3 linked regions of the Oreochromis niloticus genome follow. The protein of the gene in region 3 interacts with the protein of the main gene of each other region in a pairwise test. Links are inferred from orthologs where the notes say so. Each region holds a gene or a part of one and is shown on either strand. Other genes may lie near its edges.

Region 1 (7,500 bases), on a different chromosome or scaffold from region 3:
TCGTCTGTTGTGTTTTTGGTGAAGGAGAACAAGGCAGCAGGAGTGGAGGCCGCCGAGCTGCTGCCGGAGGAAGATGAAGGAGGAGGAAGAACTGCGGCTGTGGCTGGCAGTGTCCCTCCATGCTTCTTCTCCTCAGAGCCTCCGTCAGCTGATCCGCCGCCATACTGGCGCTCAATGCTGGCCAGGTGGCGCTCGTAGTCCCTGAAGATAGGGTTGAGGTCGCACAGCGGGTTGTCGTTCACGTGTTTGGTGATCCAGTCCCGCACTGAGCAGTTGAGCGCCGTGAGCTGCCGGCTGTACTCTTTATTGCTGCTGCTGGAGCTCTGACTCGCACTGGGGGCGGAGCCATTGGTCTGCTTGGTGGCAATATCAGCGGCGGGTTTAGCCGAGGATGGCCCGTTAAAGGTCAGACCTTCGAGGAAGGAGAAAATGTTAGTGATGGGAGAAAAAGCTCAGCTTAGAAAGAAAGAAGCAGAATAAGAGCTGGAAAATTTGATGTTTTTTTTAATCGATCATAAAGATGAATTGCTGTGAGCATCCTGAACACATTTTACACTCATAAGAGATCAATAAAATCATCATGTCCATCTCTTAGCATTTTTAAAGCTCCTATAAACTAATGAAGACATTTTAACACACAGACACAAAAAAACCTCATTTATGGATCACATTCGAAGGACGAAGAGGATCTCTGAGCTGAAAGTTTTGAATGGCAAATAAAGAGGAAATAGTTTCCGATCAATAACCGATCAAGCTGATCGATGTTTTGCTCACCAGGTGCAGACGAGGACGCTGCAGGTGAGGAGAAACCTCCGAAGGAGGGCGTGACGCTGTTCCCATTCGTCAAACCGCCGAGGCCTTTGAAGCTTCCGCCATTCCCAAACCCGGAGAAGGGAGTTGGAGCTGAGCTGCTGCTTGCCGCCGCGGTCAAAGAGAAGCCTTTAAAGCCTTTAAATGCTCCACTGCCCTCGCTCTGAAACAGGGAAACACTCAGATTACTTCATGATTATAATCAGACGCAACAGGTAAACAATGGTTTTCTCCTCGTACCTCGGTTCCAGTGTTTCTGCGTTTGGCCTTCTTGATTGCTCGATTCTTAAGCACATCTTCACTCGCCACTGAAAACGTCCCGGCCTGAAGGAGGACAAGAAAGTCAGACTCACATAATTCCAACTTCCTGAAGCCAGACTTACAGCTTCAGCATGGCCTCTTACCTCCTCGCCCTCCTCCTCCTGATCCCAGTTCCTGTCCGTGAGCTCCTTATCAGCGATCCTCTTCGCCATCCCACCGGCTCTGTAACAAAACATAAGAATTCAGTTTGTGTTCTCTTTTATTTTTTTTCAGGGTTTAGTGTGTCTTAATCAGCATTTTACAGAATTGGACTGAATAAGGAGTAGAAAAGTTTCAGTCTAGAAGCAAAAACTAGGACTGTAATAAAAACATGTTTACAAAACGGTTTATCATATGCAAAGTAAAGTATTCTGCAAAGAGTAATTAGCACAATTACTCAAAATTTTAGGGACAGTTTGTTACCATTACTATTTAATCTAATCCATTACTATTTAATCTAAACTATTTTAGTTGATTTTTCTTGTTAATATCACTACTGTTACGATTTTTCTGCTCATCTTCTTGATCTGGCTCAATGCTCCAGAATACAAATCTGTGGAAGAATCTGGAATGCTGCAAATAACTAACTAAAATAAAACCAAACTTCCTGGATGATGTTTAAGTCATGACTCAGTAATTAATGTTAACTTTAGCAGACCTGTGGACTAGATTCATATAATATATGCAGCTCATTGAAAATGTTTATTGATTTACTTAACTGGAACTGAAAAAGGTTTAAAAAAAACAAACAAACAAACAAACAAAGATGAGACATGAATAAAGGAAAATGGACACAGTTCCTTGTTTCTAACACTTCAGCTCTTTGCGTGTTAGAACTTCACTGCTGTCCACAGCTGTTGGACCATAACAGCACAAACAAGCACCTGACCTTCGTACAACGCTCACACCTGACAGCAGTCACTGTCTGCAGGTAGTCGGCTGTCCAAAGCTGCCCACAGACTGAACCTTAACTTACTGAACCTGAGCTTTTATCTCACCTACTTTCAGTATTACTTCACCTGAACACACCACTCTGCTTTTTCTCCAATAAAACACCTGATATTCAGATGAACAGGCAACGGGTAAACAACAGGTGTAAATCTGAGCTTTGGACGGCTAGTCAGGCTGAACATTTAAAAGGTTTCACCTCAAAATATGTGAAAAAATAACTTGAACATTTTACTGAAAGAAAGTAGTGCGTCAAATGATAAAAAGTTCCAAATTCTTTACAGCTTTTCGCCAAAAACACGGCTTCATTTGGTGTTTAGTTATTAATGGAGGCCGGTAATCACCGATTAATCGACTATAAACAGCTGTGGTGGAGCTGCTGTTCGAATATTCTGGATGGTGTAAAGGTTGAAACATGCCTGTGAATTCCTAGTGCGGTCTAAGGAAAGCTGATGTTTAACTAAATCAAATGCACAGGGTTGAGCACTCCTGTCAGGCAGCCTTTATCCGGGTTAACCATCAACTAGCCTGATTCGGTTAGCGCTTCTTTCCGGGTATAATCAATCACCTGTGTACCTGAGCCGAGAGATTTTCTAACTAACGTTTTACTCAGATTTCCGATTACTGAAAAACTGACTCCTGATAAACTGGCCTACCATTACCGGAGCACACACCGAGGCCAGTTGGCCTCTCCACTCCGGTGTCTAACATCATGTTTTGGCTGTTAGCCGCGGAACTAAACAAGCAAGCTAACCGGGCCGCTCACAAGCAGCTAATGTTAGCCAGCAGGCTAATGGCACGAGCTCCTCCCGTTTCCGGCGTTTAATGACTTTTTGTTAACAGGTAAATGTGACGCACCTTGTCTGTAACGCAAAGTCCGGTCTCTGCCTCCGCGCGCCTCTGACAGCTCCAGGTAACGTCTGGCTGAACACCTTAACAGGTAACACCGCTCTGTGTATTTGAACAAACCTTTTTACACCGCCATTTTACAGAGCGGTATATTCGCATGGGTTTGCGCGGCCCACTTTTCACGCATGCGCACCACAAAGCGGCCTTTAGTCTGGGAGTTGTAGTCCATATATTTTTTAAAACGACAATAAGAGGTTAAAAAACACAAAGATAAATGCATACTACGCACATAAATCATATTAAATATTGATTATGTCACCGGTGATTATTTAACTTTACATGCAGGGTGAAGGGTCTTGCTTAATGAGCAACAGCTTAATGGTCACAAGGCCTGGTGACTTTCAATCTGTGGCCCAGTGGCCACTCTCTGCACCACCACTGCTCCGAAGGGGCAGCTCTGCACAGGTAAAACATGCAGGTGTATACCTCCACAGCTCTGCAGCTTGTTTCAGGATAAAAGCTGTCATTCGTAAGTTTGACCAAGAAATCCTCCATCATCCTGAAATAACTTCATTATTAAACATGTTTATTTTTCAGAAATAAACTAGACTCTGGCCAGCAGCACTTGTGATATTATTAGAATTAGAAAAAATTAGAATAAAATTTTTTGAATAATCCATGTTATCTACACTCCAAGCTAATTCAATAAGTCCAAATCCAGGAAAAATCATAAAGCAAGTGAAAATAGGGGTGTCTGTAGCTCAAGAGTTAGAAAGGGGTCACCTGTTGATTGGAAGGTTGGTGGGTCAATCTCTGGGTGCTCCGGCTTGCATGCCAATTATCCTTGGGTAAGATACTGACCACAAATTGCTCTCCGATGCATCTTTGACAACGTGAATGTCAGAGAGCATTTATAAATAGAAAAAAAGTGCTTGTATAAATGGATGTGAATGAGGTATGTTGTATAAAGCACTTTCAGTACTCAGAGTAGATAATTGCTTTACAAGAACCAGTTCATTTACTAGACAAAATCATTAAACTATGTAGCAATTATGGGAGTTTTTTTTTTTAGCTAATATTTGATTAATTACTTTTTTAATGTACCGGTAGTTGCTTAAGGACCCATGACTTCCCTGCTATGCCACCACTGCTGTACAGGGATGGAGGATTGATCCTGTACCCGAGGAGCTCAGGCACCTCATAGGATGCAGCTTGCCAGCATCCAGGCAGCTGCAGGATTTGTGAAAACTGGCAACATAATGATAAGAATTAACACCTCGAAATTTGAATTTTTTTTCCTCTAAACTGACTAAAAGCGGTAGAAGGGATGAGGAGTGAGATGAAGAGCCTAGAGGATCAGATCATTGCTATTTGTAGGATGGAAAAGTTAATTGGTGTTAAATATTCTGTAGAAGACACCAGGGTCATCCCTAGTGTTTGGTGCCATTTTAAGTGTATGTAGTGTAAATAAATGGGCTAATACTCGTTTCTAAAAAGTTGTCTTGCAGAATTAACCCAATCTACTTAGAAAACAAATGTCTCCAAGATTATTTTATAATAATCACAGACTTTAAGCATGAATAGCTTCAGTTTAAACAAAAAGACAAAAAGATTTATCATGTTCCTACAATACAATTTCACATAAGTCAAAAAATGAGCTGCAAAAAGTATCACAGTGGCTGATAGAATGACAGACAGAGTTAGCGCCATAGTTAATTTCAATTGATTAGAGCATTGATTAACTTGAAACAGACTTTCAGCCTAAACTCAGCAGCAGCAGAGCAGTCCAGGTACTCCATCAGATCCAGAGGGACGCACAGGGATGATGCTGGACTCCGCATTGTGTCTGACAGTGGAGCTGTTCCCAGATCAGTTCACTCTGCAGCACTAACAGTCATCTGCACTTCTCATTCCTCTGTTAGTCACTGCCGGATGAACCGCTCCTCTACACCGCCCAGTAACATGGTCCATTCAGAACGTCTCTACACACAAGCTGCTGCTGCTGCTTTACCTCTGACTCAGCAGGACACAGCTCATCCTCTCTCAGCACACACACACCACCCAGTTTACCATCACCTCCACCTGCAGACAGAAGAACAAATTGATGGAATAAGTCAGTGTTTACAGAGACTCATCAGCTGACAGTTAGTTACTGCAACAAACACATCTGTTTTGAAGGAAGGCTCAGAGGAGGTTTGAGATTGTTACCATCATGGGTTCATTTGATCAGAATGAGAATGAACAGTCATCAATCACAGGTTTTTCCTTTTATTTGAATAATCAGTAGGGAAAGACAGATGAACTGCTAACTCTGAAAGGAAATAAAGTGTGATTTAAGTCCCTCAGTAACTTAAAATAGTACATGAACTCAGGAGACTCAACAGAAACTCACCTCAGCTGCCACGCCATGTGGGAGTGAAGAAAGTGAGGTGTAGGTGAGTGCAGTCCTTATATAACGGGTGACAGGTGAGCGCAATTAAGGGGAAGCACCGCACCCAATCAAAGGTGAGGAAAAGAAACAAGGTGAATCTGGTGAAGTGAGTGTGCTGAAAGGAGATCTTCATAACCACATCAGCAATGTCTTGATGCATGCTCAATCATCCAGGTCAGTAAATCAAAAAAGTTGATTCTGTTCATCTGGACGTAGCGTTTTCAGTGGGAGAAACGTTTCGTCACTCGTCCAAGTGACTTCTTCAGTCTCATCTGACTGCAGGTTTCTCCAACCTTATAAACAGTACATTCGCACAATGATGGAACAATTGACCTCACAGCCGTTGTTCTATCAGTGGGCTAGTTTCAAGTCATTGTGCAAATGAAAAATCATGGCCTTGCCTACTATTTCTATGCAGATGACACCCACATTTACATGCCCATAAATGAAATGATGTCAGCTCCCCTAAATCTCTACTGAAGAATCTGAAGGATGGATGGCTTAAAACTCTTTTAATTTAAATTAAAGTAAGACTGGGGTCATTGTGCTCAGACTCAGTGGTGTGTGTGCTGCTTCTCTTTTGGACCTGGGCCCTCTGCAGCTGTATGTTAAAGCACAGTGACAAACCTTAGTGGTCACTGGAAGTTTAACATGGCACATCATATCAAAGAATCGATCTTCTCTGAGGATTTGAAAAAAGAATTGTTACACTACATAAAGATGGTCTATGCTATAAGAATGTTGCCAACACCGTGAACCTGAGCTGCAGCACGGTGGTGATGGTCGACCAAAGAAGTTGAGTGCACATGCTCAGCGTCATATCCAGAGGTTGTCTTTTGAAAATGGATGTATGAGTGCTGCCAGCATTATTGCAGAGGTTGGAGGCGTGGAGGGTCAGCCTGTCAGTGCTCAGACCAAATGCTACACACTGCATCACATGGCTGTCATCCCAGAAGGAAGCCTCTTCTAAAGACAATGCACAAGAAAGCAAGAAAGCCCACAAACAGTTTGCTGAAGACAAGCAGACTGATGACATGGATTACCTTTGGTCTGATGAGGCCAAGATAAACTTATTTGGTTCAGATGGTGTCAAGGGTGTGTGGTGGAAACCAGGTGAGGAGTTCAAAGAGAGTGTGTCTTGCCTAGAGTCAAGCATGGTGGTGTGATGTCATTTTTTGGGGCTGCATCAGTGCTGCTAGCACTGAGAAGCTACAATTAATTGAGGGAACTATGAATGTCAGCATGTACTGTGACATGCTGAAGCAGAGCATGATCCTCTCCCTTCAGAAACTGGGCCATGGGACAGTATTCCAACATGATGATAACCTCAAACACAGCTCCAAAAAGACCAGTGCCTTGCTAAATAAACTGAGGGTAAAGGTACTTGACTGGCCAAGCATGTCTCCAGACTTAAACCCTATTGAGCATCTGTGGGGCATGTTCAAATGGAAGGTGGAGGAGCGCAAGGTCTCTAACATCCATCAGCTCTGTGATGTCATCATGGAGGAGTGGAAGAGGATTGCTGCGGCAACCTGTGAAGATGTAGTGAACTCCAGTGGTTGCCACACAAAATATTGACACTTTGGCCACAGTTTGGACATTTTCACTTAGGGGTGTACTTACATTTGTTGCTAGCAGTTTAGTCATTAATGGCTGTGTGTTGAGTTATTTTGAGGTGACAGCAAATTTACACTGTTATACAAGCTGTACACTGACTACTTTACATTGTATCAAAGTGTCATATCTTCAGTGTCGTCCCATGAAAATAAAGTATTTACAAAAATAGAGATACTGTATATGTGAGCTGCTGACTCCATATGTTCCTTCAGTGTCGCTGAGGTCCATTGACCAGTTGCTCCTGGCAGTCCCAAAAACCTGGCTGAAAAACCAGGGACAATCAAGCTTTTTCAGTTATCACCCCCAAATTTGTGGAATGATATCTCGTCCCATGTTAAGGTGACCTCCATGTTGCCTTAAAAAAACATAAAGTAAAATAAATAATAACAATTGTAATATTGTTGTTGTTTCATTGATTTGTTGCATGGGGTTCGGGTGCACTGTACAGCAACAGTATTTTTTAAAAAGTGTTCTATAAATAAAATTAGATTTGATATTACCTAGCATAACTGAAAAATCTTCATAAATAACAAAGAGCTCAGTAA
Region 2 (8,010 bases), on a different chromosome or scaffold from region 3:
CGACAATTGTCCAGGACAAGTTCTCGTACCTGGAATTGAAAAAACAAACAAATAGTATTATTTAAAAATTACTTGTACTTTTTAATGCATTTGCAAGTACTACAACTACTTGCAAAATTTTTATACCTTAAGTGTATTTTAAAACAGACCAAATGTTAAATATTCCAAAATATATTTCGCAGATATTATAATTTTTTTTCCAAACAAAATCATTAAGAAAGGCGTTCGGGGAATATAGCAGCCCTAACGTATTAATAATCAGTGGGTGGTGGTGTTTGTAAAATGGCCCTTCACTTTGTGTAAAATGATTAAAGGCGTTTTATAGTTGCTTAAAATATTAGAAAAAACAACTCTGAAGGCGGAGTTACTTTGACTCCGTTAAAGCTCACACTGGTTGCGCAAGTCATTGTTAAACGTTACCAAAAAAGTTCTTGTCAAGCGTCAAAGACCGCCGTTTCTCGATTAAAAACACCAAAATGGATACTCAGTCTCTATCTAAAAACACTTTGCTATCACTGTGTGCTTCGTTTAACCGACCGCCACAGTTCGTCTATTGATTTCTTTGAAACGAGGAAGAGCAAAGCAGCGGCTTCCCATGGCCTGCTGATGCAGTCACTAATGACAAATGCAATGATTTTGTGAGCTAGCTCGCTACAGGCTAGCCATTGCCCCTTTTAAACGCTGCCGTGCCGTAGAGGAGCAGCTAGAGAGGTCTGTCTGCCCGCCATTAGCCAACCCAACAGCAACGGAAAGGATTGCGAATACACCCTTAGTAAAGAGATTCTTTTTTTCTTTCGTTAAACCAGCTTTCGTGGGGGAAGTGGAATATTCCTTGTCGTCGAGCGAATGACCGATATTGGCAGTTTGTTAGAGGGTACAGCATCGCTTTCAGGTCGAAGTGGCGAAGGAAATATATTGAGAACGGAAATTTAGTAAAAAACAAAGATGGAGACAGTTCCTTTCTCCCAGAGCTTCAAAGACGACAGAATGACAACATGGCGATTCCTGAGCTACAGTATGCAGTCCTCTGAACGCTTCAATGGCGGAAAGTGCTGTTAAGAATGAGCAATAAGCGTTATTTACATATAACCGAAAGTGTTTTTTCGGTGTTAAATTGATTTTATTTTGTGCATGATACGAGGGGGAACGCCGAGCGGGGAGCTTTTGGCTGCCCACGCATGAAGCGCGGTGCGCCGGATCTCCGTGTCATTCGAGCAGGCTGGCTCGATCAATGAAGCCGCTGGCCAACACATGCATCTGTGTAGTAGCAAGCGCCAAGTTTAGCAATAGTAACGATTACTGGAGCACACTGTAGTCGTGTTTGGTGTTTTTACTTTACAACTGGATAGATTTTGTTGTCTTTGACCGGTAGCGAGAAGGGGGTAATATGGCGGGAACCTAATACCAAGTTAGCTGGCTGGTAGTCTGAATGGTTCTGAAACCCCGGACCACCAGGCTTCATTCAATAAGCATGCGATTCTTCTTCGTCGTCTTTAAGACGATGCACGGATGATAAGTGATACTATAGCTTGGTGCACAACTAGAGAAGAATTAATGAGGGAATTAATTGATGTACACTCCCTTTAAAAACTTACAGATTGCAACGTGTCTTTAAACAAATCAGCACCAACAGCAGCGGTTGGCTGTTTGTTGAGTGTCTCCCGGCTCTAAGGTTTTGGAGTTGCGGTGTATTTTCACCATTAGCGGTTTAAGGTACGGATGACTCGTGAACCAAGTGTTTTTTGTTGTCGCTGCCTGAATCTTTGTGGCCGTTTGATGTAAACGTATACTCCACAGAAATGTGAACATACGACTCGTGATCTGCGACGGCCCGTTTAACGTTTACAAAACTCGTTTGTTGTTCAGCACCAGAGTTTAAAGTGATTTTGCAATTATTACACAAAAAAGCTCCCCCTTTTTTTCCTTTTTTTTAGCAGTTATGCTAGCAGCAAACATGGCTTCCAAGGTCTGTATAAAATATACCGCTCTGTGAATGCCGAACGCGGCGCAGGAAACTGCTTTCTCCTCATATCGGCGCAAAAAGAAGTTTACTAATTGTGCTACAACGGTGGAGTGTAGCTGAATCGTGTGTGCACCATTGACCAGGGAGGCTGCGAAACGGTTAAAGCACTGCAATAATGCCAGCAAGCTGGGGGGGAATCGCCGTTTCAAAGTAACGACTGAATATAGCTTTTCTCGTCTCGTTGCCCCTATACGCCCAATCCCAGCCAGCATAAAGGCTCTGGCTTGTTATGCGACTGTTTTCCGCCCCGTTATAAATGAGAAACACAATCAAAAGCCCATGTGGTCACCATTACGTTAGCCACACAGGGTCACTCGCAAAGCAAAAAAAGTAGCAAGCTAGGCTAGCAGGGGCTAGCCTGAAAACTAAGGGTTGGTTTTAAAAAAAGCACGACTCACATCAGACGGTGTCCTGTTTCTAAGCTCCAAGTGGATCCTCTTTTTCATGTCCATTTTGCCCTATGAAAGTTAAACTTTTCTCCTCGGGGTTTTGCTGGGATCTTCAGTCCAAAGGCAGAGATGCCCTAATGGAGGGAGAATATAGGACTGTATAATGAACTGAGCCAAACGCTAAGTTAGTCGGAGAGAGGGGAAACCATGGAGGGAAACGGGACTGAAACAAAATATATGCTCAACAGCGCCATCTGCGTCCAGAAACGCCCATCGCTTCTGAAAAAAAGGCATTGCAGTCACAAAACATGACGCTGCCCCGAAACGGTGCTATGGTGCAATTTATTCTATGCAAGGAAATTACTGTACTGTGTTGTTCAGTGAAGACGGCGGGGTTTTTCTTTGAGAAGTCGGTTTTATTCAGCGAAGGATGTGCACGAACAGACGCGTGTAGCGTATGCAAAACAAATAAGCAACCAAGCAATTAAACGGCGATAAAGTAGGTCACATGGTGAACTTTGTTATGCTTCATTTAAAAGTTTCACAGGAAATCTCGAATGCATTACTGCTTTATAGTCAACATATAAGCAGTGTAATTATGAGGTAACCATCATAATGTATGCCTATTTAAAAAAAAATATGTAAATATGTGTGTGTTGGGTCTTGTGAATGTGTGATACTTTTTACATTGTAATAAAAAAGAAAAATGAACAAAATTGTGTTGTTTCTTGGTTCCTAAATGGTTGATTCCTACCCCCAACCGCTAAAAAGGAGGGCTATATGTGGTTTGCCTTAAAGAGAGCATTGTATATACACATATGGACGGGTAGAGCACCCCATACAACCCCTCCTCTTTACTTCCTGACACTCTCCAGCGTTGAAGTAGAAAATCTACTGTGCTTGTAGTTTTTTTTTTCTTATGTTCTAAATTAATTAGTGAATAAGCTTTAATACTATAAATGAATAACAAATTATAGCCCGTTTTAAGTCTAGTAAATATAACAAATGTATAAATGCTAGCAAGATGTGTTTGCATAGTGTGCCGAGGGCAACCAATGCAAATACCCTAACTCTGGCCACATGCATGTTAAAGGCACAGTCCATACAGTGCATATATACACACAGACACTGTTTTTAAATCAGTGTTTGGTAGTTGAGAAGCAATGCCAGAAGATGGCACTGTAATATCTACACTGACATTCCTCACATTTCATTGTGCAACGGTGGGGCTGTGTGTGAATGACAGCCCTATCTGCTTTTGGCTGTAACAGTAATGCTGGAGGGGGTTTATTAATGTGTCAGTTGGAGTTTTATTAGCTGAGGAGTTAACTATGTGCAGTTTGGGATCTTTTGAACTGCTGGAACTCAACACTAGAGGTTTGGTTGATTGTGTTTTGTGATTTTAATTTGAGTGTGTGAAAACCTATACTTAAACATACATGTTTTCATTCAGCTTCTTAGCACTCACAGCTTCCACCGGTGCAGAATGTCTGTGTATAGATTCTCTTCATATGATGTTGAAAAGAGAGTGCATTACGAGCACCTTCATGCAGAAATCAGTACATTTAGAAAGAGGCCTTTCAACATTTCCCCCCACAGTGCTGGGAGCAATTGGCAGTTGAGTGTTATTTACTCTACTGGATAGCTCTTTTCTCCCTCTCTCTCTCTGAGTGTCTCAAACACACACACATCAGGGCTCAATGTGTTGTTAGAAGATTGTGAACACACCCCAACCGAGCAACTTGCCATCTGAGCGATAAGACGGGTATATGCCCCAACTCTGGACGAAGACAGGAATTTTGTTTGGTCTGTAGTGTGGTTTACCTACCAAAAAGGCATATTTCTTATGATTTGTGGATTAATATTATGAATATTCTACAGAAATATTTTGAGCTTTTGTGTTTTTTCTTGATATCATATTTAAAACTTAATAACTTCACATATATTGGACCCCTATTTAAGAAACTGTCCAAAAATCAGTCAAAGTCTTGCTCTTGTTAAGCTACAGCAGTGCCTTTAGATCAGCTGCTGAAGAGCTCTAGTACAACATATATATTTGTTACCCTATCATACACACACACACACACACACAGAAAACTTGCTGTTGTCTTTTTCCCCCCTGTCTGTCAGTTTTGTGCCAACTCCTCCAGCTTTACAAATATGATAAGACCAAAGCTGCAAGAACTCTCCCTGCACTGTGGTAATGGTTAACCAGATAATTCGTCTAGGGGTGGGAATAGAAAACTGTCAGAAGTTATTCTGTCGTCTTTTTTTGCGCTTGCCCGCCTTCAATGAGTTGAATTCATTCATAGCAGGACTCAGAATGGAGGACACATCGCAACAAGAGAAACAAGAGTTGGAATATAAAAATCCAAATGAAGAGGAAGGTAGGTTTTTTTTTTTTTAAAGATTAATCTCTTCTTTGGAAATCGGCTGCTCAAGCATTTCCACACCAAAAATGCTGAAGGAGCTGGTTATGTCTTTGCACACACTGCGGTGCTGGTGGTTAACTCAGAAACAGACCTTTGATCAACATTTAAGTAATATCACAAATCTGTCTGTTTTCAAAGTTTGCCAGTGTGTAGCTAGGAGAAGAAATATCTTTATATTGTCATGAGTCAAGCACATTACCCAGTCATGCAGTTTGTCTTTGAATTTCTAATGCACCATATGAACATGATTTCTGTGCACGGCTCTCTGTTTCAAAGGTGGGATCCGTCGCCGATTGCGAGACAGGGACCTTCTCAGGAAGAGAAAGGCCGAAGCAGAAGAGAAGGAAACTAACCAGTGGGTTTTTGGGTAAATTTGTAGCAAAAGCACAGACAATGTTAGCGCTGCTGCCTATGTTTACCTCTATGCTCATGGAGAAATCTACAAATTTCAGCACTTAAGTGCAGTAGAAGAAAGTGGTGGTCCTATCCAGAAAAGTTTAGTAGCCTGCGTTGAAACACTGTACAGTACAGTACATGCAGTACATGCTGAAAACACTATCAGCATTCTGGCTGCTTATCACTCCTCTGGTTTATATTGAATATGGAGCAAGAGGAAAGCAAAGGTTGCTCTGCTCTTTCTATTGACGCCACAGATCTGGGTCAAGGACTTTGTACTATTAGCTTTGCAAAACTGTCACAAAGAGCTGTATCAATGTCCACTGTTGTTGAAGTTAATTGCAACTGCGGTGCTCTCTCAGGGTGGAGAGCCAACGGAAAAGATCAAGAGCTGAGGACAAGAGCGGTGCGAAGAAGAGAGGGAGGCCCAGGAAGACTGAACCCACACCGCAGCTGTCTGCTGTTCAGGAAGAAGTCGAAGCACTTAAGGAAACTCCTGCAGTAGTGGTGGTACCCGAACCCGCTGTGGTCATTCAGGACCAAATAACCAGCTCTCTGCCTCCGCTGTTTGGGCTGGAATCACAACCAGCTTCAGTCCTTGCTGCTCCTGCTCCTGCAGCAGTGTTCGAGTCTGTGCAGAATTCAGCTCCTGCTCCAACTCTGGCTTTTGCTGCTCCAGTTCCCGTCCAAGATTCAGCTCCTGCTCCAGATGCTGTCTTAGTCCCAGCTCAGTCCCTAGACTCTGTTCCAGCTGTAACTCCTGCTCCTCCCTCAGCTCCTCCCCAAGTGGAGACCCTCTATACAGAGTCACAAAGCAAGGAGGCCCCAGGCCAGGTCCTGATTGAGGACTTAGGCCCAGATGAGGAGGAGGACGTCTCTCCATTGCAAGGCAACAAACGTGCTAATGAAGGTTTGTATGTTGTAAAAATACACAAAAACAATACTTTGAAACACTGTCTGGTTCGAAAGGTTTAATGATTATTAAATTGTCTGTCTGTCTTTTTTTTTTTTTTTTTTTTTTTTTTTAGATTTGAGTGAAACACTTTCGATCAACGTGCCTGAACAAAATAACGTGTACTCAGTTCCAACTGTCTCTGCTCAGCCTATGGCTCAGGAATATTTTCCAGGAAATTAATTGCAACATTTTTTTTTTCTGAAATGCACTGTTAAGATATTGCTTTATACATGCAAAGCCTCGTCACAGTTTGTATCTGAGTATTTTTCTTCTTCTTTTTTTGTGTAGTGTGCACACACAAGATGAGGCAAGTCATTGCTTATTTGAAAGATGTATGAATTCAAACCAAAGCTGTATGCTTATTTATTTTGGTTGTGCTTCACTGCAAAGCTTATGATCTTTTTTTTATATACTTTCAATTTAGTATGCAACCAGTTTTGCTGGCCTTTATTTAAAAGTTAAGGGTATAAATCGCTGGTAATTATGTATTCAGAATTGTGGATTTATTTTTACAGAATTTTGTAAAAGTTACTATTCGTCTAATAAAAGTCACTTCTGCATCATTTAACAGCAGTCGTTATTATAGGAGTCATCAGCTGTAAAATACATCCACACGCAAATACATGAGTGATATGAATTAGAATTAACTCTCTTTTCATTAAATGAAATAATTATGTAACCATTTTGTTCACATATGACATCTCTCCACTCTGGTGAGTGAAATTAAATGATGTTTGTTGTACAGTTTGAACAGCATATCTGTAGATTTAATCTGTGGCTTATCTGTTAAGTCACGTGTAGTGAAACATTTAGCCCTATCTGCTAGTGGCTACTGGTAGTGCTTATAATGTACTCATTTGTACTACATAAAGAGGTGGAAAAAGTACTGGTAAAAGCTGCAATAACTGATTAATTAGTGAAATGACAGAAAAAAAGGTAAAAGATGCTCTACTGGATTGAATGACTATGGAGGCCAAATTTAGTAAACGGAACTCACTGTGTTGTTGAATATACCAGGTTAAGATGATCTGAGCTTTGGGAGATTATGATATCCTGCTGGAGGTAGCCAACAGAAGATGGGTACAGTGTGGTCATAAAGGTGGACATGGTCAGGAGCAGTACTTGGGTAGGCTGTTTAGATGATGCTCAGTTGGTACCAAGGGGACCAAAGTGTATGAAAAATATCCTCCACACCATTAATCCACAAACATCCTGAATCACTGATACAAGGTAGGATGGATCCAAATTCTGGCCCTAACATCTAAATGTTGTAGAAGTAATTGAGACTCATCACACCAGGCAACATTTTCCCCGATTTTCCATAGTGCTGAATGAATGTATGTAGTGAAAAGTTTTAATATTCAACAACAGTGTTCAACAAACCAGGTTGAGGTGATCTGAGCTTTGTAACCTGGCATGATTTACTTTTGTAAATCAGCTGATTTAAGGATGCAAAAAAAATAAAAATAAAAAAAATTGACAAGTTGATTCTGTTCATCTGGATGTTGCGTTTTCAGTTGGAGAAATGTTTTGTCACTCAAAACAGTGACTTCTTCAGTCTCTGAAAACTTCTCCCACTGAAAACACTATGTCCAGATGAACAGAATGAACTTTTTCGATTTCTCTACCTGGATGATTGAGCATGCATCAAGACATTTTCACTATTGATTAACTATCGCTTTAATTTTTGCAAATTGTAGCCTCAGCCATTTGTTCTTAACTTAGATGTGGTCTTCCGATGCTGTAGCCTATCTAGTTCAAGGTTCAAGAAATGCTTTTCTGCATATCTTGTTTGTAACCAGTGGTTATTTGTTG
Region 3 (7,353 bases):
ATAGCAATGCGACACACCTGTGTTACTCTAATAGTCTCTATGTTTGAATGCTTCAGCACTCTCAGCACTCTCCCCAGAGATGACATCAGCTGCACACTCCACAGAGTACTGTGAAAGAATTGCCTGGAAATTAAATGTTGTCCTTGAAACAAGACTGAGGATGATATAAACCTGAAGATTTAAACAGTTTTAGATCCATGAGCACTCTACAGCTCGTTAGATCTAAAAACACAGCAGCAGCAGGTTTCATACAAGTGTAATTTGTTCTTTTGCATTTGATAACAGGATCCAAATTCCACATTAGAATCAGTATACTTTATTAATCCCTAAGGAAATGATGTGGTTACAGCTGCGCCAAGACAACAGGAGCAGACTGAACTAAATCAAATTATACATTATGTAACAAAGTTACAAAATAGAAGAAATACCTCAAATATAAATACCCAGAATATTAGAGAGATTAAATATATATGATGATATTATGATCGTCAACATTCAGCCTGGAAAAGACCTAATGAGGAGACCATCAGGACCAAACTGTGTCTCCTGGGTGCAGAGGTCTTTCATCACAGCTGTCCTGTGCCAGATCTCAGTGCAGGGATCAAGCAGGACTCGTAGTCTTTACCAGCACCTCCTTCAGTCCTGTAGAACGCTATACAGTAAAAATCTATATATTGTGGTGGACCACTAGAGGGCTCCACTCACACCCAGTGTTGAGGAAGTGTGTTCTTCTGTTTTGTGGCGCGATATGTCCAGTTGATGTTGGAGACAAATAAAGAAGGAGTGTGAACTGAGAGCTCTGTGTCGTAATGCTTACCTCCACATTGGTGACCCCGACGTGATCGAAACGCCGACCGGGGATACGGAAAGGTTCGAGGGGTGCCTGCGTGTGCCGGTGGATTTTTGAGCGTTGGCATGGGACACAAACCGCCGCCCATTCTTTCACCGTCTTGCGAAGGCCCGGCCAAACGAACCTGGCGCTGACCAGCTTGACCGAGGCCCGGACGCCGGGATGAGAGAGGGCATGCACCGAGTCAAAAACACGACGACGCCACGAAAGGGGAACCACCGGGCGGGGGCGGCCGGTAGAAACGTCGCAAAGAAGGCGCGGACCGCCGTCCCACACCGGGGTGTCCTCCAGCACGAGGCCCGTTTTCATTGACTGAAGCGCCAGGATGTCCGGGTCAGCATGCTGCTCGGCGGCCATGGCAGCGTAGTCGACGCCGACATACACTGGAGAAACCAACACACGTGACAGACAGTCAGCGACGTGATTGGACTTACCAGCCACGTGCTGAATGTCTGTGGTAAACTCCGAAATGGCCGCCAACTGGCGCTGCTGGCGTGCGCTCCATGGGTCAGAGACCTTGGACATCGCAAACGTCAAAGGTTTGTGGTCAACGTACGCAGTAAAGTTGCGACCCTCGAGGAAAAAACGAAAATGCCGTGTCGCGAGGTGCAGGGCTAGCAACTCCCTGTCAAAAACACTGTACTTGCGTTCGGCATCCCGGAGCGTACGACTGAAAAAGGCGAGCGGTTGCCAGAGACCTGAAACCCGCTGTTCCAACACCCCACCCACTGCCACGTCGGACGCGTCGGTGGTCAACGCGATCTCCGCCGACGGGAGCGGGTGTGCCAGCAGGGCGGCGTCAGCCAGCGCAGACTTGGCTGCGGAAAACGCATGGATGCGTTCCGGCAGCCAGTCAACCGGATCTTTGGCTGTTTTACCTTTTAAGGCAGCATAGAGTGGCTGCAGCAGGTGGGCAGCTCTGGGGAGAAAGCGGTTGTAAAAATTTATCATCCCCAAGAACTCCTGCAACGCTTTAACCGACGTGGGGCGTGGAAAAGCTGAAACGGCCTGGACTCTGTCGGGCAACGGAACCACACCTTCAGCGGAAATGCGGTGCCCGAGGAAATCCAGAACAGGCAACCCAAACTGGCACTTGGAAGGGTTGATGATCAGGCCGTGCGCTGCCAAACGCTGGAAAACCTGGCGCAGATGGGACTCGTGCTGGCTCGCTGAGCAGCTGGCCACCAATATATCGTCCAGATAAACAAAAACGAACGGCAGCCCACGCAAAACTGAGTCCATCAGCCGCTGAAAGGTCTGGGCGGCACCTTTCAGGCCAAACGGCATGCGCAAAAACTCGAACAAGCCGAAGGGGGTAATGACAGCGGTCTTAGGGACGTCTTCGGCGCGCACGGGAACCTGGTGTCGTAATGCTTACCTCCACAATATATTACATTGTCATTACTCAGATATGACTGACTCTGAATTACTTTATGGTAAATAACACACTATTGGCAAGACCCAGTGTGAAAGAATTCCTTGTTGAAGTTTTTATTTCATCAGGTGACGACCTTTGACCTTACATCAGGTTGTATTGAATGCTGTCAGAGAAAATCTCATGTTCTCTTTCTGCAGCTGACTACAGTGTTTAAAACAGAAGCTGTGCAGATCTGAGTTACTGTCTATGTGACATCATGGATGATGAATCATTTTGACTTTTTGTCTTTAACTTTAGTATAAGCAGGACTATCACCTCATCTCGTCACCATCCATCAGCTGATGATGCCAACATGGTTTTCTCTGTACAGTCTTTAATAGATGTCTACACCCAAAGAGCTCCCTGAATAAAGTACTTGGGGTCAAGTACACCAGAAATGTACTATATAGGAACCAGTCGTCATACAGTAGCACAGTTCTTGTCTAAAGAGACAGTGTAACACCTTCTGTCTTCATCAACACTATCAAAGGAAACATCACGTATGTAGTGAAACCATGTTGCTGCTCACTGATCACCTCTCTGAAGTTACCTTCAACCAGATAATCATTCTGTATTTGCTAACACTTAACAACCAAAGATTCCAGATTCTGATCCATCAGTCCATAATACCTTCTTCCAGTCTGCAGTAGTCCAATGGTGGTGTTTCATGGGCCAGCCAAGCCTCTTTGTCTGATTCTGACATCTGGCTTTCTTGCTGCAGCTCGTCCTGTCAAACCTACAGCAGGAAGTTCAATTCAATTCAATTCAATTCAATTCAATTCAATTTTATTTATATAGCGCCAAATCACAACAAAAGTCGCCTCAAGGCGCTTCACAGGTGCAGAGAAAAACCCAACAATCATATGACCCCCTATGAGCAAGCACTTTGGCGACAGTGAGAAGGAAAAACTCCCTTTTAACAGGAAGAAACCTCCGGCAGAACCAGGCTCAGGGAGGGGCGGGGCCATCTGCTGCGACCGGTTGGGGTGAGAGCAGGAAGACAGGATAAAGACATGCTGTGGAAGAGAGACAGAGATTAATAACAGATATTCAATGCAGAGAGGTCTGTTAACACATAGTGAGTGAGAAAGGTGACTGGACAGGTAAAACTCAATGCATCATGGGAATCCCCGGCAGCCTACGTCTATTGCAGCATAACTAAGGGAGGATTCAGGGTCACCTGGTCCAGCCCTAACTATATGCTTTAGCAAAAAGGAAAGTTTGAAGCCTAATCTTGAAAGTAGAGATAGTGTCTGTCTCCCGAATCCAAACTGGAAGCTGGTTCCACAGAAGAGGGGCCTGAAAACTGAAGGCTCTGCCTCCCATTCTACTTTTAAATACTCTAGGAACAACAAGTAGGCCTGCAGAGCGAGAGCGAAGTGCTCTAATAGGGTGATATGGTACTACAAGGTCATTAAGATAAGATGGGGCCTGATTATTTAAGACCTTGTATGTGAGGAGCAGGATTTTGAATTCAATTCTGGATTTAACAGGAAGCCAATGAAGGGAAGCCAATACAGGAGAAATCTGCTCTCTCTTTCTAGTCCCTGTCAGGACTCTTGCTGCAGCATTTTGGATCAGCTGAAGACTTTTCAGTGAGTTTTTAGGACATCCTGATAATAAAGAATTACAGTAGTCCAGCCTGGAAGTAATAAATGCATGAACTAGTTTTTCAGCGTCACTCTGAGACAGGATGTTTCTAATTTTAGAGATGTTGCGCAAATGGAAGAAAGCAGTCTTACATATTTGTTTAATATGTGCATTGAAGGACATGTCCTGGTCAAAAATGACTCCAAGGTTTCTCACAGTGTTACTGGAGGCCAAGGTAATGCCATCCAGAGTAAGAATCTGCTTAGATACCATATTTCTAAGATTTTCAGGGCCGAGTACAATAACCTCAGTTTGATCTGAATTAAGAAGCAGAAAGTTAGCGGCCATCCAGGTCTTTATGTCTTTAAGACATTCCTGCAGTTTAACTAATTGGTGTGTGTTACCTGGCTTCATGGACAGATAGAGCTGGGTGTCGTCTGCATAGCAGTGAAAATTTATGCTATGTCTTCTAATGATGCTGCCTAAGGGAAGCATGTATAATGTAAACAGAATTGGTCCTAGCACTGAACCCTGTGGAACACCATAATTGACCTTAGTGTGTGAAGAGGACTCTCCATTTACATGCACAAATTGGAGTCTATTAGATAGATATGATACAAACCACTGCAGTGCAGTACCTGTAATACCTACAGCATGTTCTAATCGCTCTAATAGGATATTATGGTCGACAGTATCGAATGCTGCACTGAGGTCTAGCAGGACAAGCACAGAGATGAGTCCACTGTCAGAGGCCATAAGAAGATCATTTGTAACCTTCACTAAAGCTGTTTCTGTGCTGTGCTGAGCTCTGAAACCTGACTGAAACTCTTCAAATAAGCCATTCCTCTGCAGATGATCTGTTAGCTGTTTGACAACTACTCTTTCAAGGATGTTTGATATGAAAGGAAGGTTGGAGATTGGCCTATAATTAGCTAAGACTGCTGGGTCTAGAGATGCTTTTTGAGTAAAGGTTTAACTACAGCCACCTTGAAGGCCTGTGGTACATAGCCGATTATTAGAGATAGGTTGATCATATTTAAGATCGAAGCATTAATTAATGGCAGGACTTCTTTGAGCAGTTTTGTAGGAATGGGGTCTAAAAGACACGTTGATGGTTTGGAGGAATTAATTATTGAAGCTAACTCAGAAAGATCAATTGGAGAAAAAGAGTCTAACTTAACATCGATGGTACTGAAAGTAGCTGTAGATAATATTACATCTGTGGGATGATTATTGGTAATTTTTTCTCTAATGATAAGAATTTTATTTGTGAAGAAGTTCATGAAGTCATTACTAGTTAACGTTAAAGGGATGGTTGGCTCAGTAGAGCTCTGACTGTTTGTCAGCCTGGCTACAGTGCTGAAGAGAAACCTGGGGTTGTTCTTATTTTCTTCAATCAGTGACGAATAGTAAGATGTTCTGGCTTTGCGGAGGGCTTTCTTATAAAGCAGCAAACTATTTCTCCAGGCTAAATGATGATCCTCTAAATTTGTGACATGCCATTTCCTCTCCAGCTTACGAGTTATCTGCTTTAGGCTACGTGTTTGAGAATTATACCACGCAGTCAGGTACTTCTGATTTGAGGCCTTAGTTTTCACAGGAGCTACAGTATCCAGAGTCGTACGTAGTGAGGAGGTAAAATTATTAACAAGATAATCGACCTCTGTTGGAGTAGCGTTCAGGTAGCTGCTCTGCTCTATGTTGGTACAGGGCATTGAAGATGATAACAGTGGGTGGATTATATTCTTAAACTTAGTTACAGCACTTTCAGAAAGACATCTACTGTGATAAAGTCTACTCTCCACTGCTGTGTAATCAATTATTGTAAATGTAAATGTTATCAGGAAATGATCAGACAGCAGAGGGTTTTCAGGAAACACTGTTAAATGTTCAGTTTCTATGTCATATGTTAAAACAAGATCTAGAGTGTGACTAAAGTGGTGGGTGGGTTCTTTTACATTTTGAGAGAAGCCAATTGAGTCTAATAACAGATTAAATGCCATGTTGAGGCTGTCATTTTTAGCATCTACATGGATGTTAAAATCACCCACAATAATTATTTTATCTGAGCTGAGCACTAAATCAGATAAAAAGTCTGAGAAATCAGACAGAAACTCTGTAAGGCCCAGGTGGACGATAGATGATAACAAGTAAGACTGGTTTCTGAGTTTTACAGCTGGGGTGGACGAGGCTAAGCATCAGGCTTTCAAATGAATTAAAAGTCTGTCTTGGTCTTTGGTTGATTAATAGGCTGGTGTGAAAAATTGCTGCCACACCGCCCCCTCGGCCTGTGCTTCGAGGTTTCTGGTAGTTAGAATGACTCGGGGTGTTGATTCATTTAAACTAACATAATCATCCGGCTGCAACCAGGTTTCTGTAAGGCAGAGTAAATCGATTTGTTGATCAATTATTAAGTCATGTACTAACAGAGACTTGAAGGAGAGAGACCTAATATTTAATAATCCACATTTCACTGTTTTACTCTTTGGTTCAGATGTGGATACTGTATTGTTCTTTCTTTGTGATTTTTTATGTTTAAGTTGTTTATTGCTGGTTTTTAGTTTGTTTTTTCTCTGTTTGGGAGCTGACACAGTCTCAATGGAGATGGGTTTTTGGGGGGGTAGCAGGAGGAGAGAAGCTGCAGAGAGGCGTGTAAGACTGCAACTCTGCTTCCTGGTCCCAACTCTGGATAGTCATATTTTGGGGGGTTTAATAAATTGGTCCATATTTCTAGAAATGAGAGCTGCTCCATCCAAAGTGGGATGGATGCCGTCTCTCCCAACAAGACCAGGTTTCCTCCAGAAGGTTTGCCAATTATCTATGAAGCCCACATCGTTTCTGGGACACCACTCAGACAGCCAGCAATTTAAGGAGAACATGCGGCTAAACATGTCACTCCTGGTCTGACTGTGAAGGGTCTTCTCTTCACAGCTGAAACTGAGACTTGCTTACTACGACCACTATCAAGCTGTGCTTGAAGCTGTTGTCCTGTGAGCCGCCTATCACACTGTAACTGATTCAGTCGTGTCTTTGGGTCTGCAGACCTTCCTGTCACAGTTTGTTTCTGAGCCTTTGGATGCTGAAGGAAACTGTACTCACTGACACCTTGACTTTCTTTGCAGTTTCTCTGTAGGACAGACCTACATTTATAAGTGTTATGATGGTCTGTCTCTCTTCCATTGTTAATGACCTTTTTCTCACCATTTCTGTACCAACACACTACTTTCTGCAGTACAGTACCGTTCATCTGATGCTCATCAGGGTACCACAGTGTGTCCAACAGACAGAGGGGGTTGGACCTGCAGGAATTAGTAGCACCAACTTTCAAGTCTCGAGTCTCCATTGCTGCAGAGCAGCTTTAAATTGTTAACCCATGCTGTGTTCCCTGAAAAAGACCTTTTTTTTTATAATTCTGAAATGTGCATTATTTTTCACTTTTGGTTTACCACATATTTTATTTCAACCTGGCAGTTCATCACTTGTTTGTTCTATTTTA

What was found.
Region 1: the proteins of kpna5 (region 3) and nup50 interact in binary tests that used the Homo sapiens proteins (3 or more experiments, as listed by UniProt). The two-hybrid records come from large-scale screens. The link is inferred for Oreochromis niloticus from reciprocal best matches to the Homo sapiens genes KPNA5 and NUP50.
Region 2: the proteins of kpna5 (region 3) and anp32b interact in binary tests that used the Homo sapiens proteins (3 or more experiments, as listed by UniProt). The two-hybrid records come from large-scale screens. The link is inferred for Oreochromis niloticus from reciprocal best matches to the Homo sapiens genes KPNA5 and ANP32B.

Annotation. Positions count from the first base shown.
Region 1 is NC_031981.2:22,122,207-22,129,706, forward strand, and holds the start of nup50 (nuclear pore complex protein Nup50), read right to left. Parts: upstream 3,098-7,500; 5' UTR 2,917-3,097; intron 1,294-2,916; 5' UTR 1,284-1,293; coding exon 1,215-1,283; intron 1,135-1,214; coding exon 1,051-1,134; intron 974-1,050; coding exon 775-973; intron 413-774; coding exon 1-412. UniProt on the Homo sapiens protein: Component of the nuclear pore complex that has a direct role in nuclear protein import. Actively displaces NLSs from importin-alpha, and facilitates disassembly of the importin-alpha:beta-cargo complex and importin recycling.
Region 2 is NC_031971.2:17,395,243-17,403,252, forward strand, and holds the start of anp32b (acidic leucine-rich nuclear phosphoprotein 32 family member B), read right to left. Parts: upstream 3,061-8,010; 5' UTR 2,476-3,060; coding exon 2,422-2,475; intron 30-2,421; coding exon 1-29. Other genes in the region: hemgn (formin-like protein 1), read left to right, coding at 4,736-4,799, 5,121-5,211, 5,603-6,150, 6,269-6,375. UniProt on the Homo sapiens protein: Multifunctional protein that is involved in the regulation of many processes including cell proliferation, apoptosis, cell cycle progression or transcription.
Region 3 is NC_031976.2:1,270,111-1,277,463, reverse strand, and holds the start of kpna5 (importin subunit alpha-6), read right to left. Parts: upstream 3,075-7,353; 5' UTR 2,971-3,074; coding exon 2,898-2,970; intron 1-2,897. UniProt on the Homo sapiens protein: Functions in nuclear protein import as an adapter protein for nuclear receptor KPNB1. Binds specifically and directly to substrates containing either a simple or bipartite NLS motif.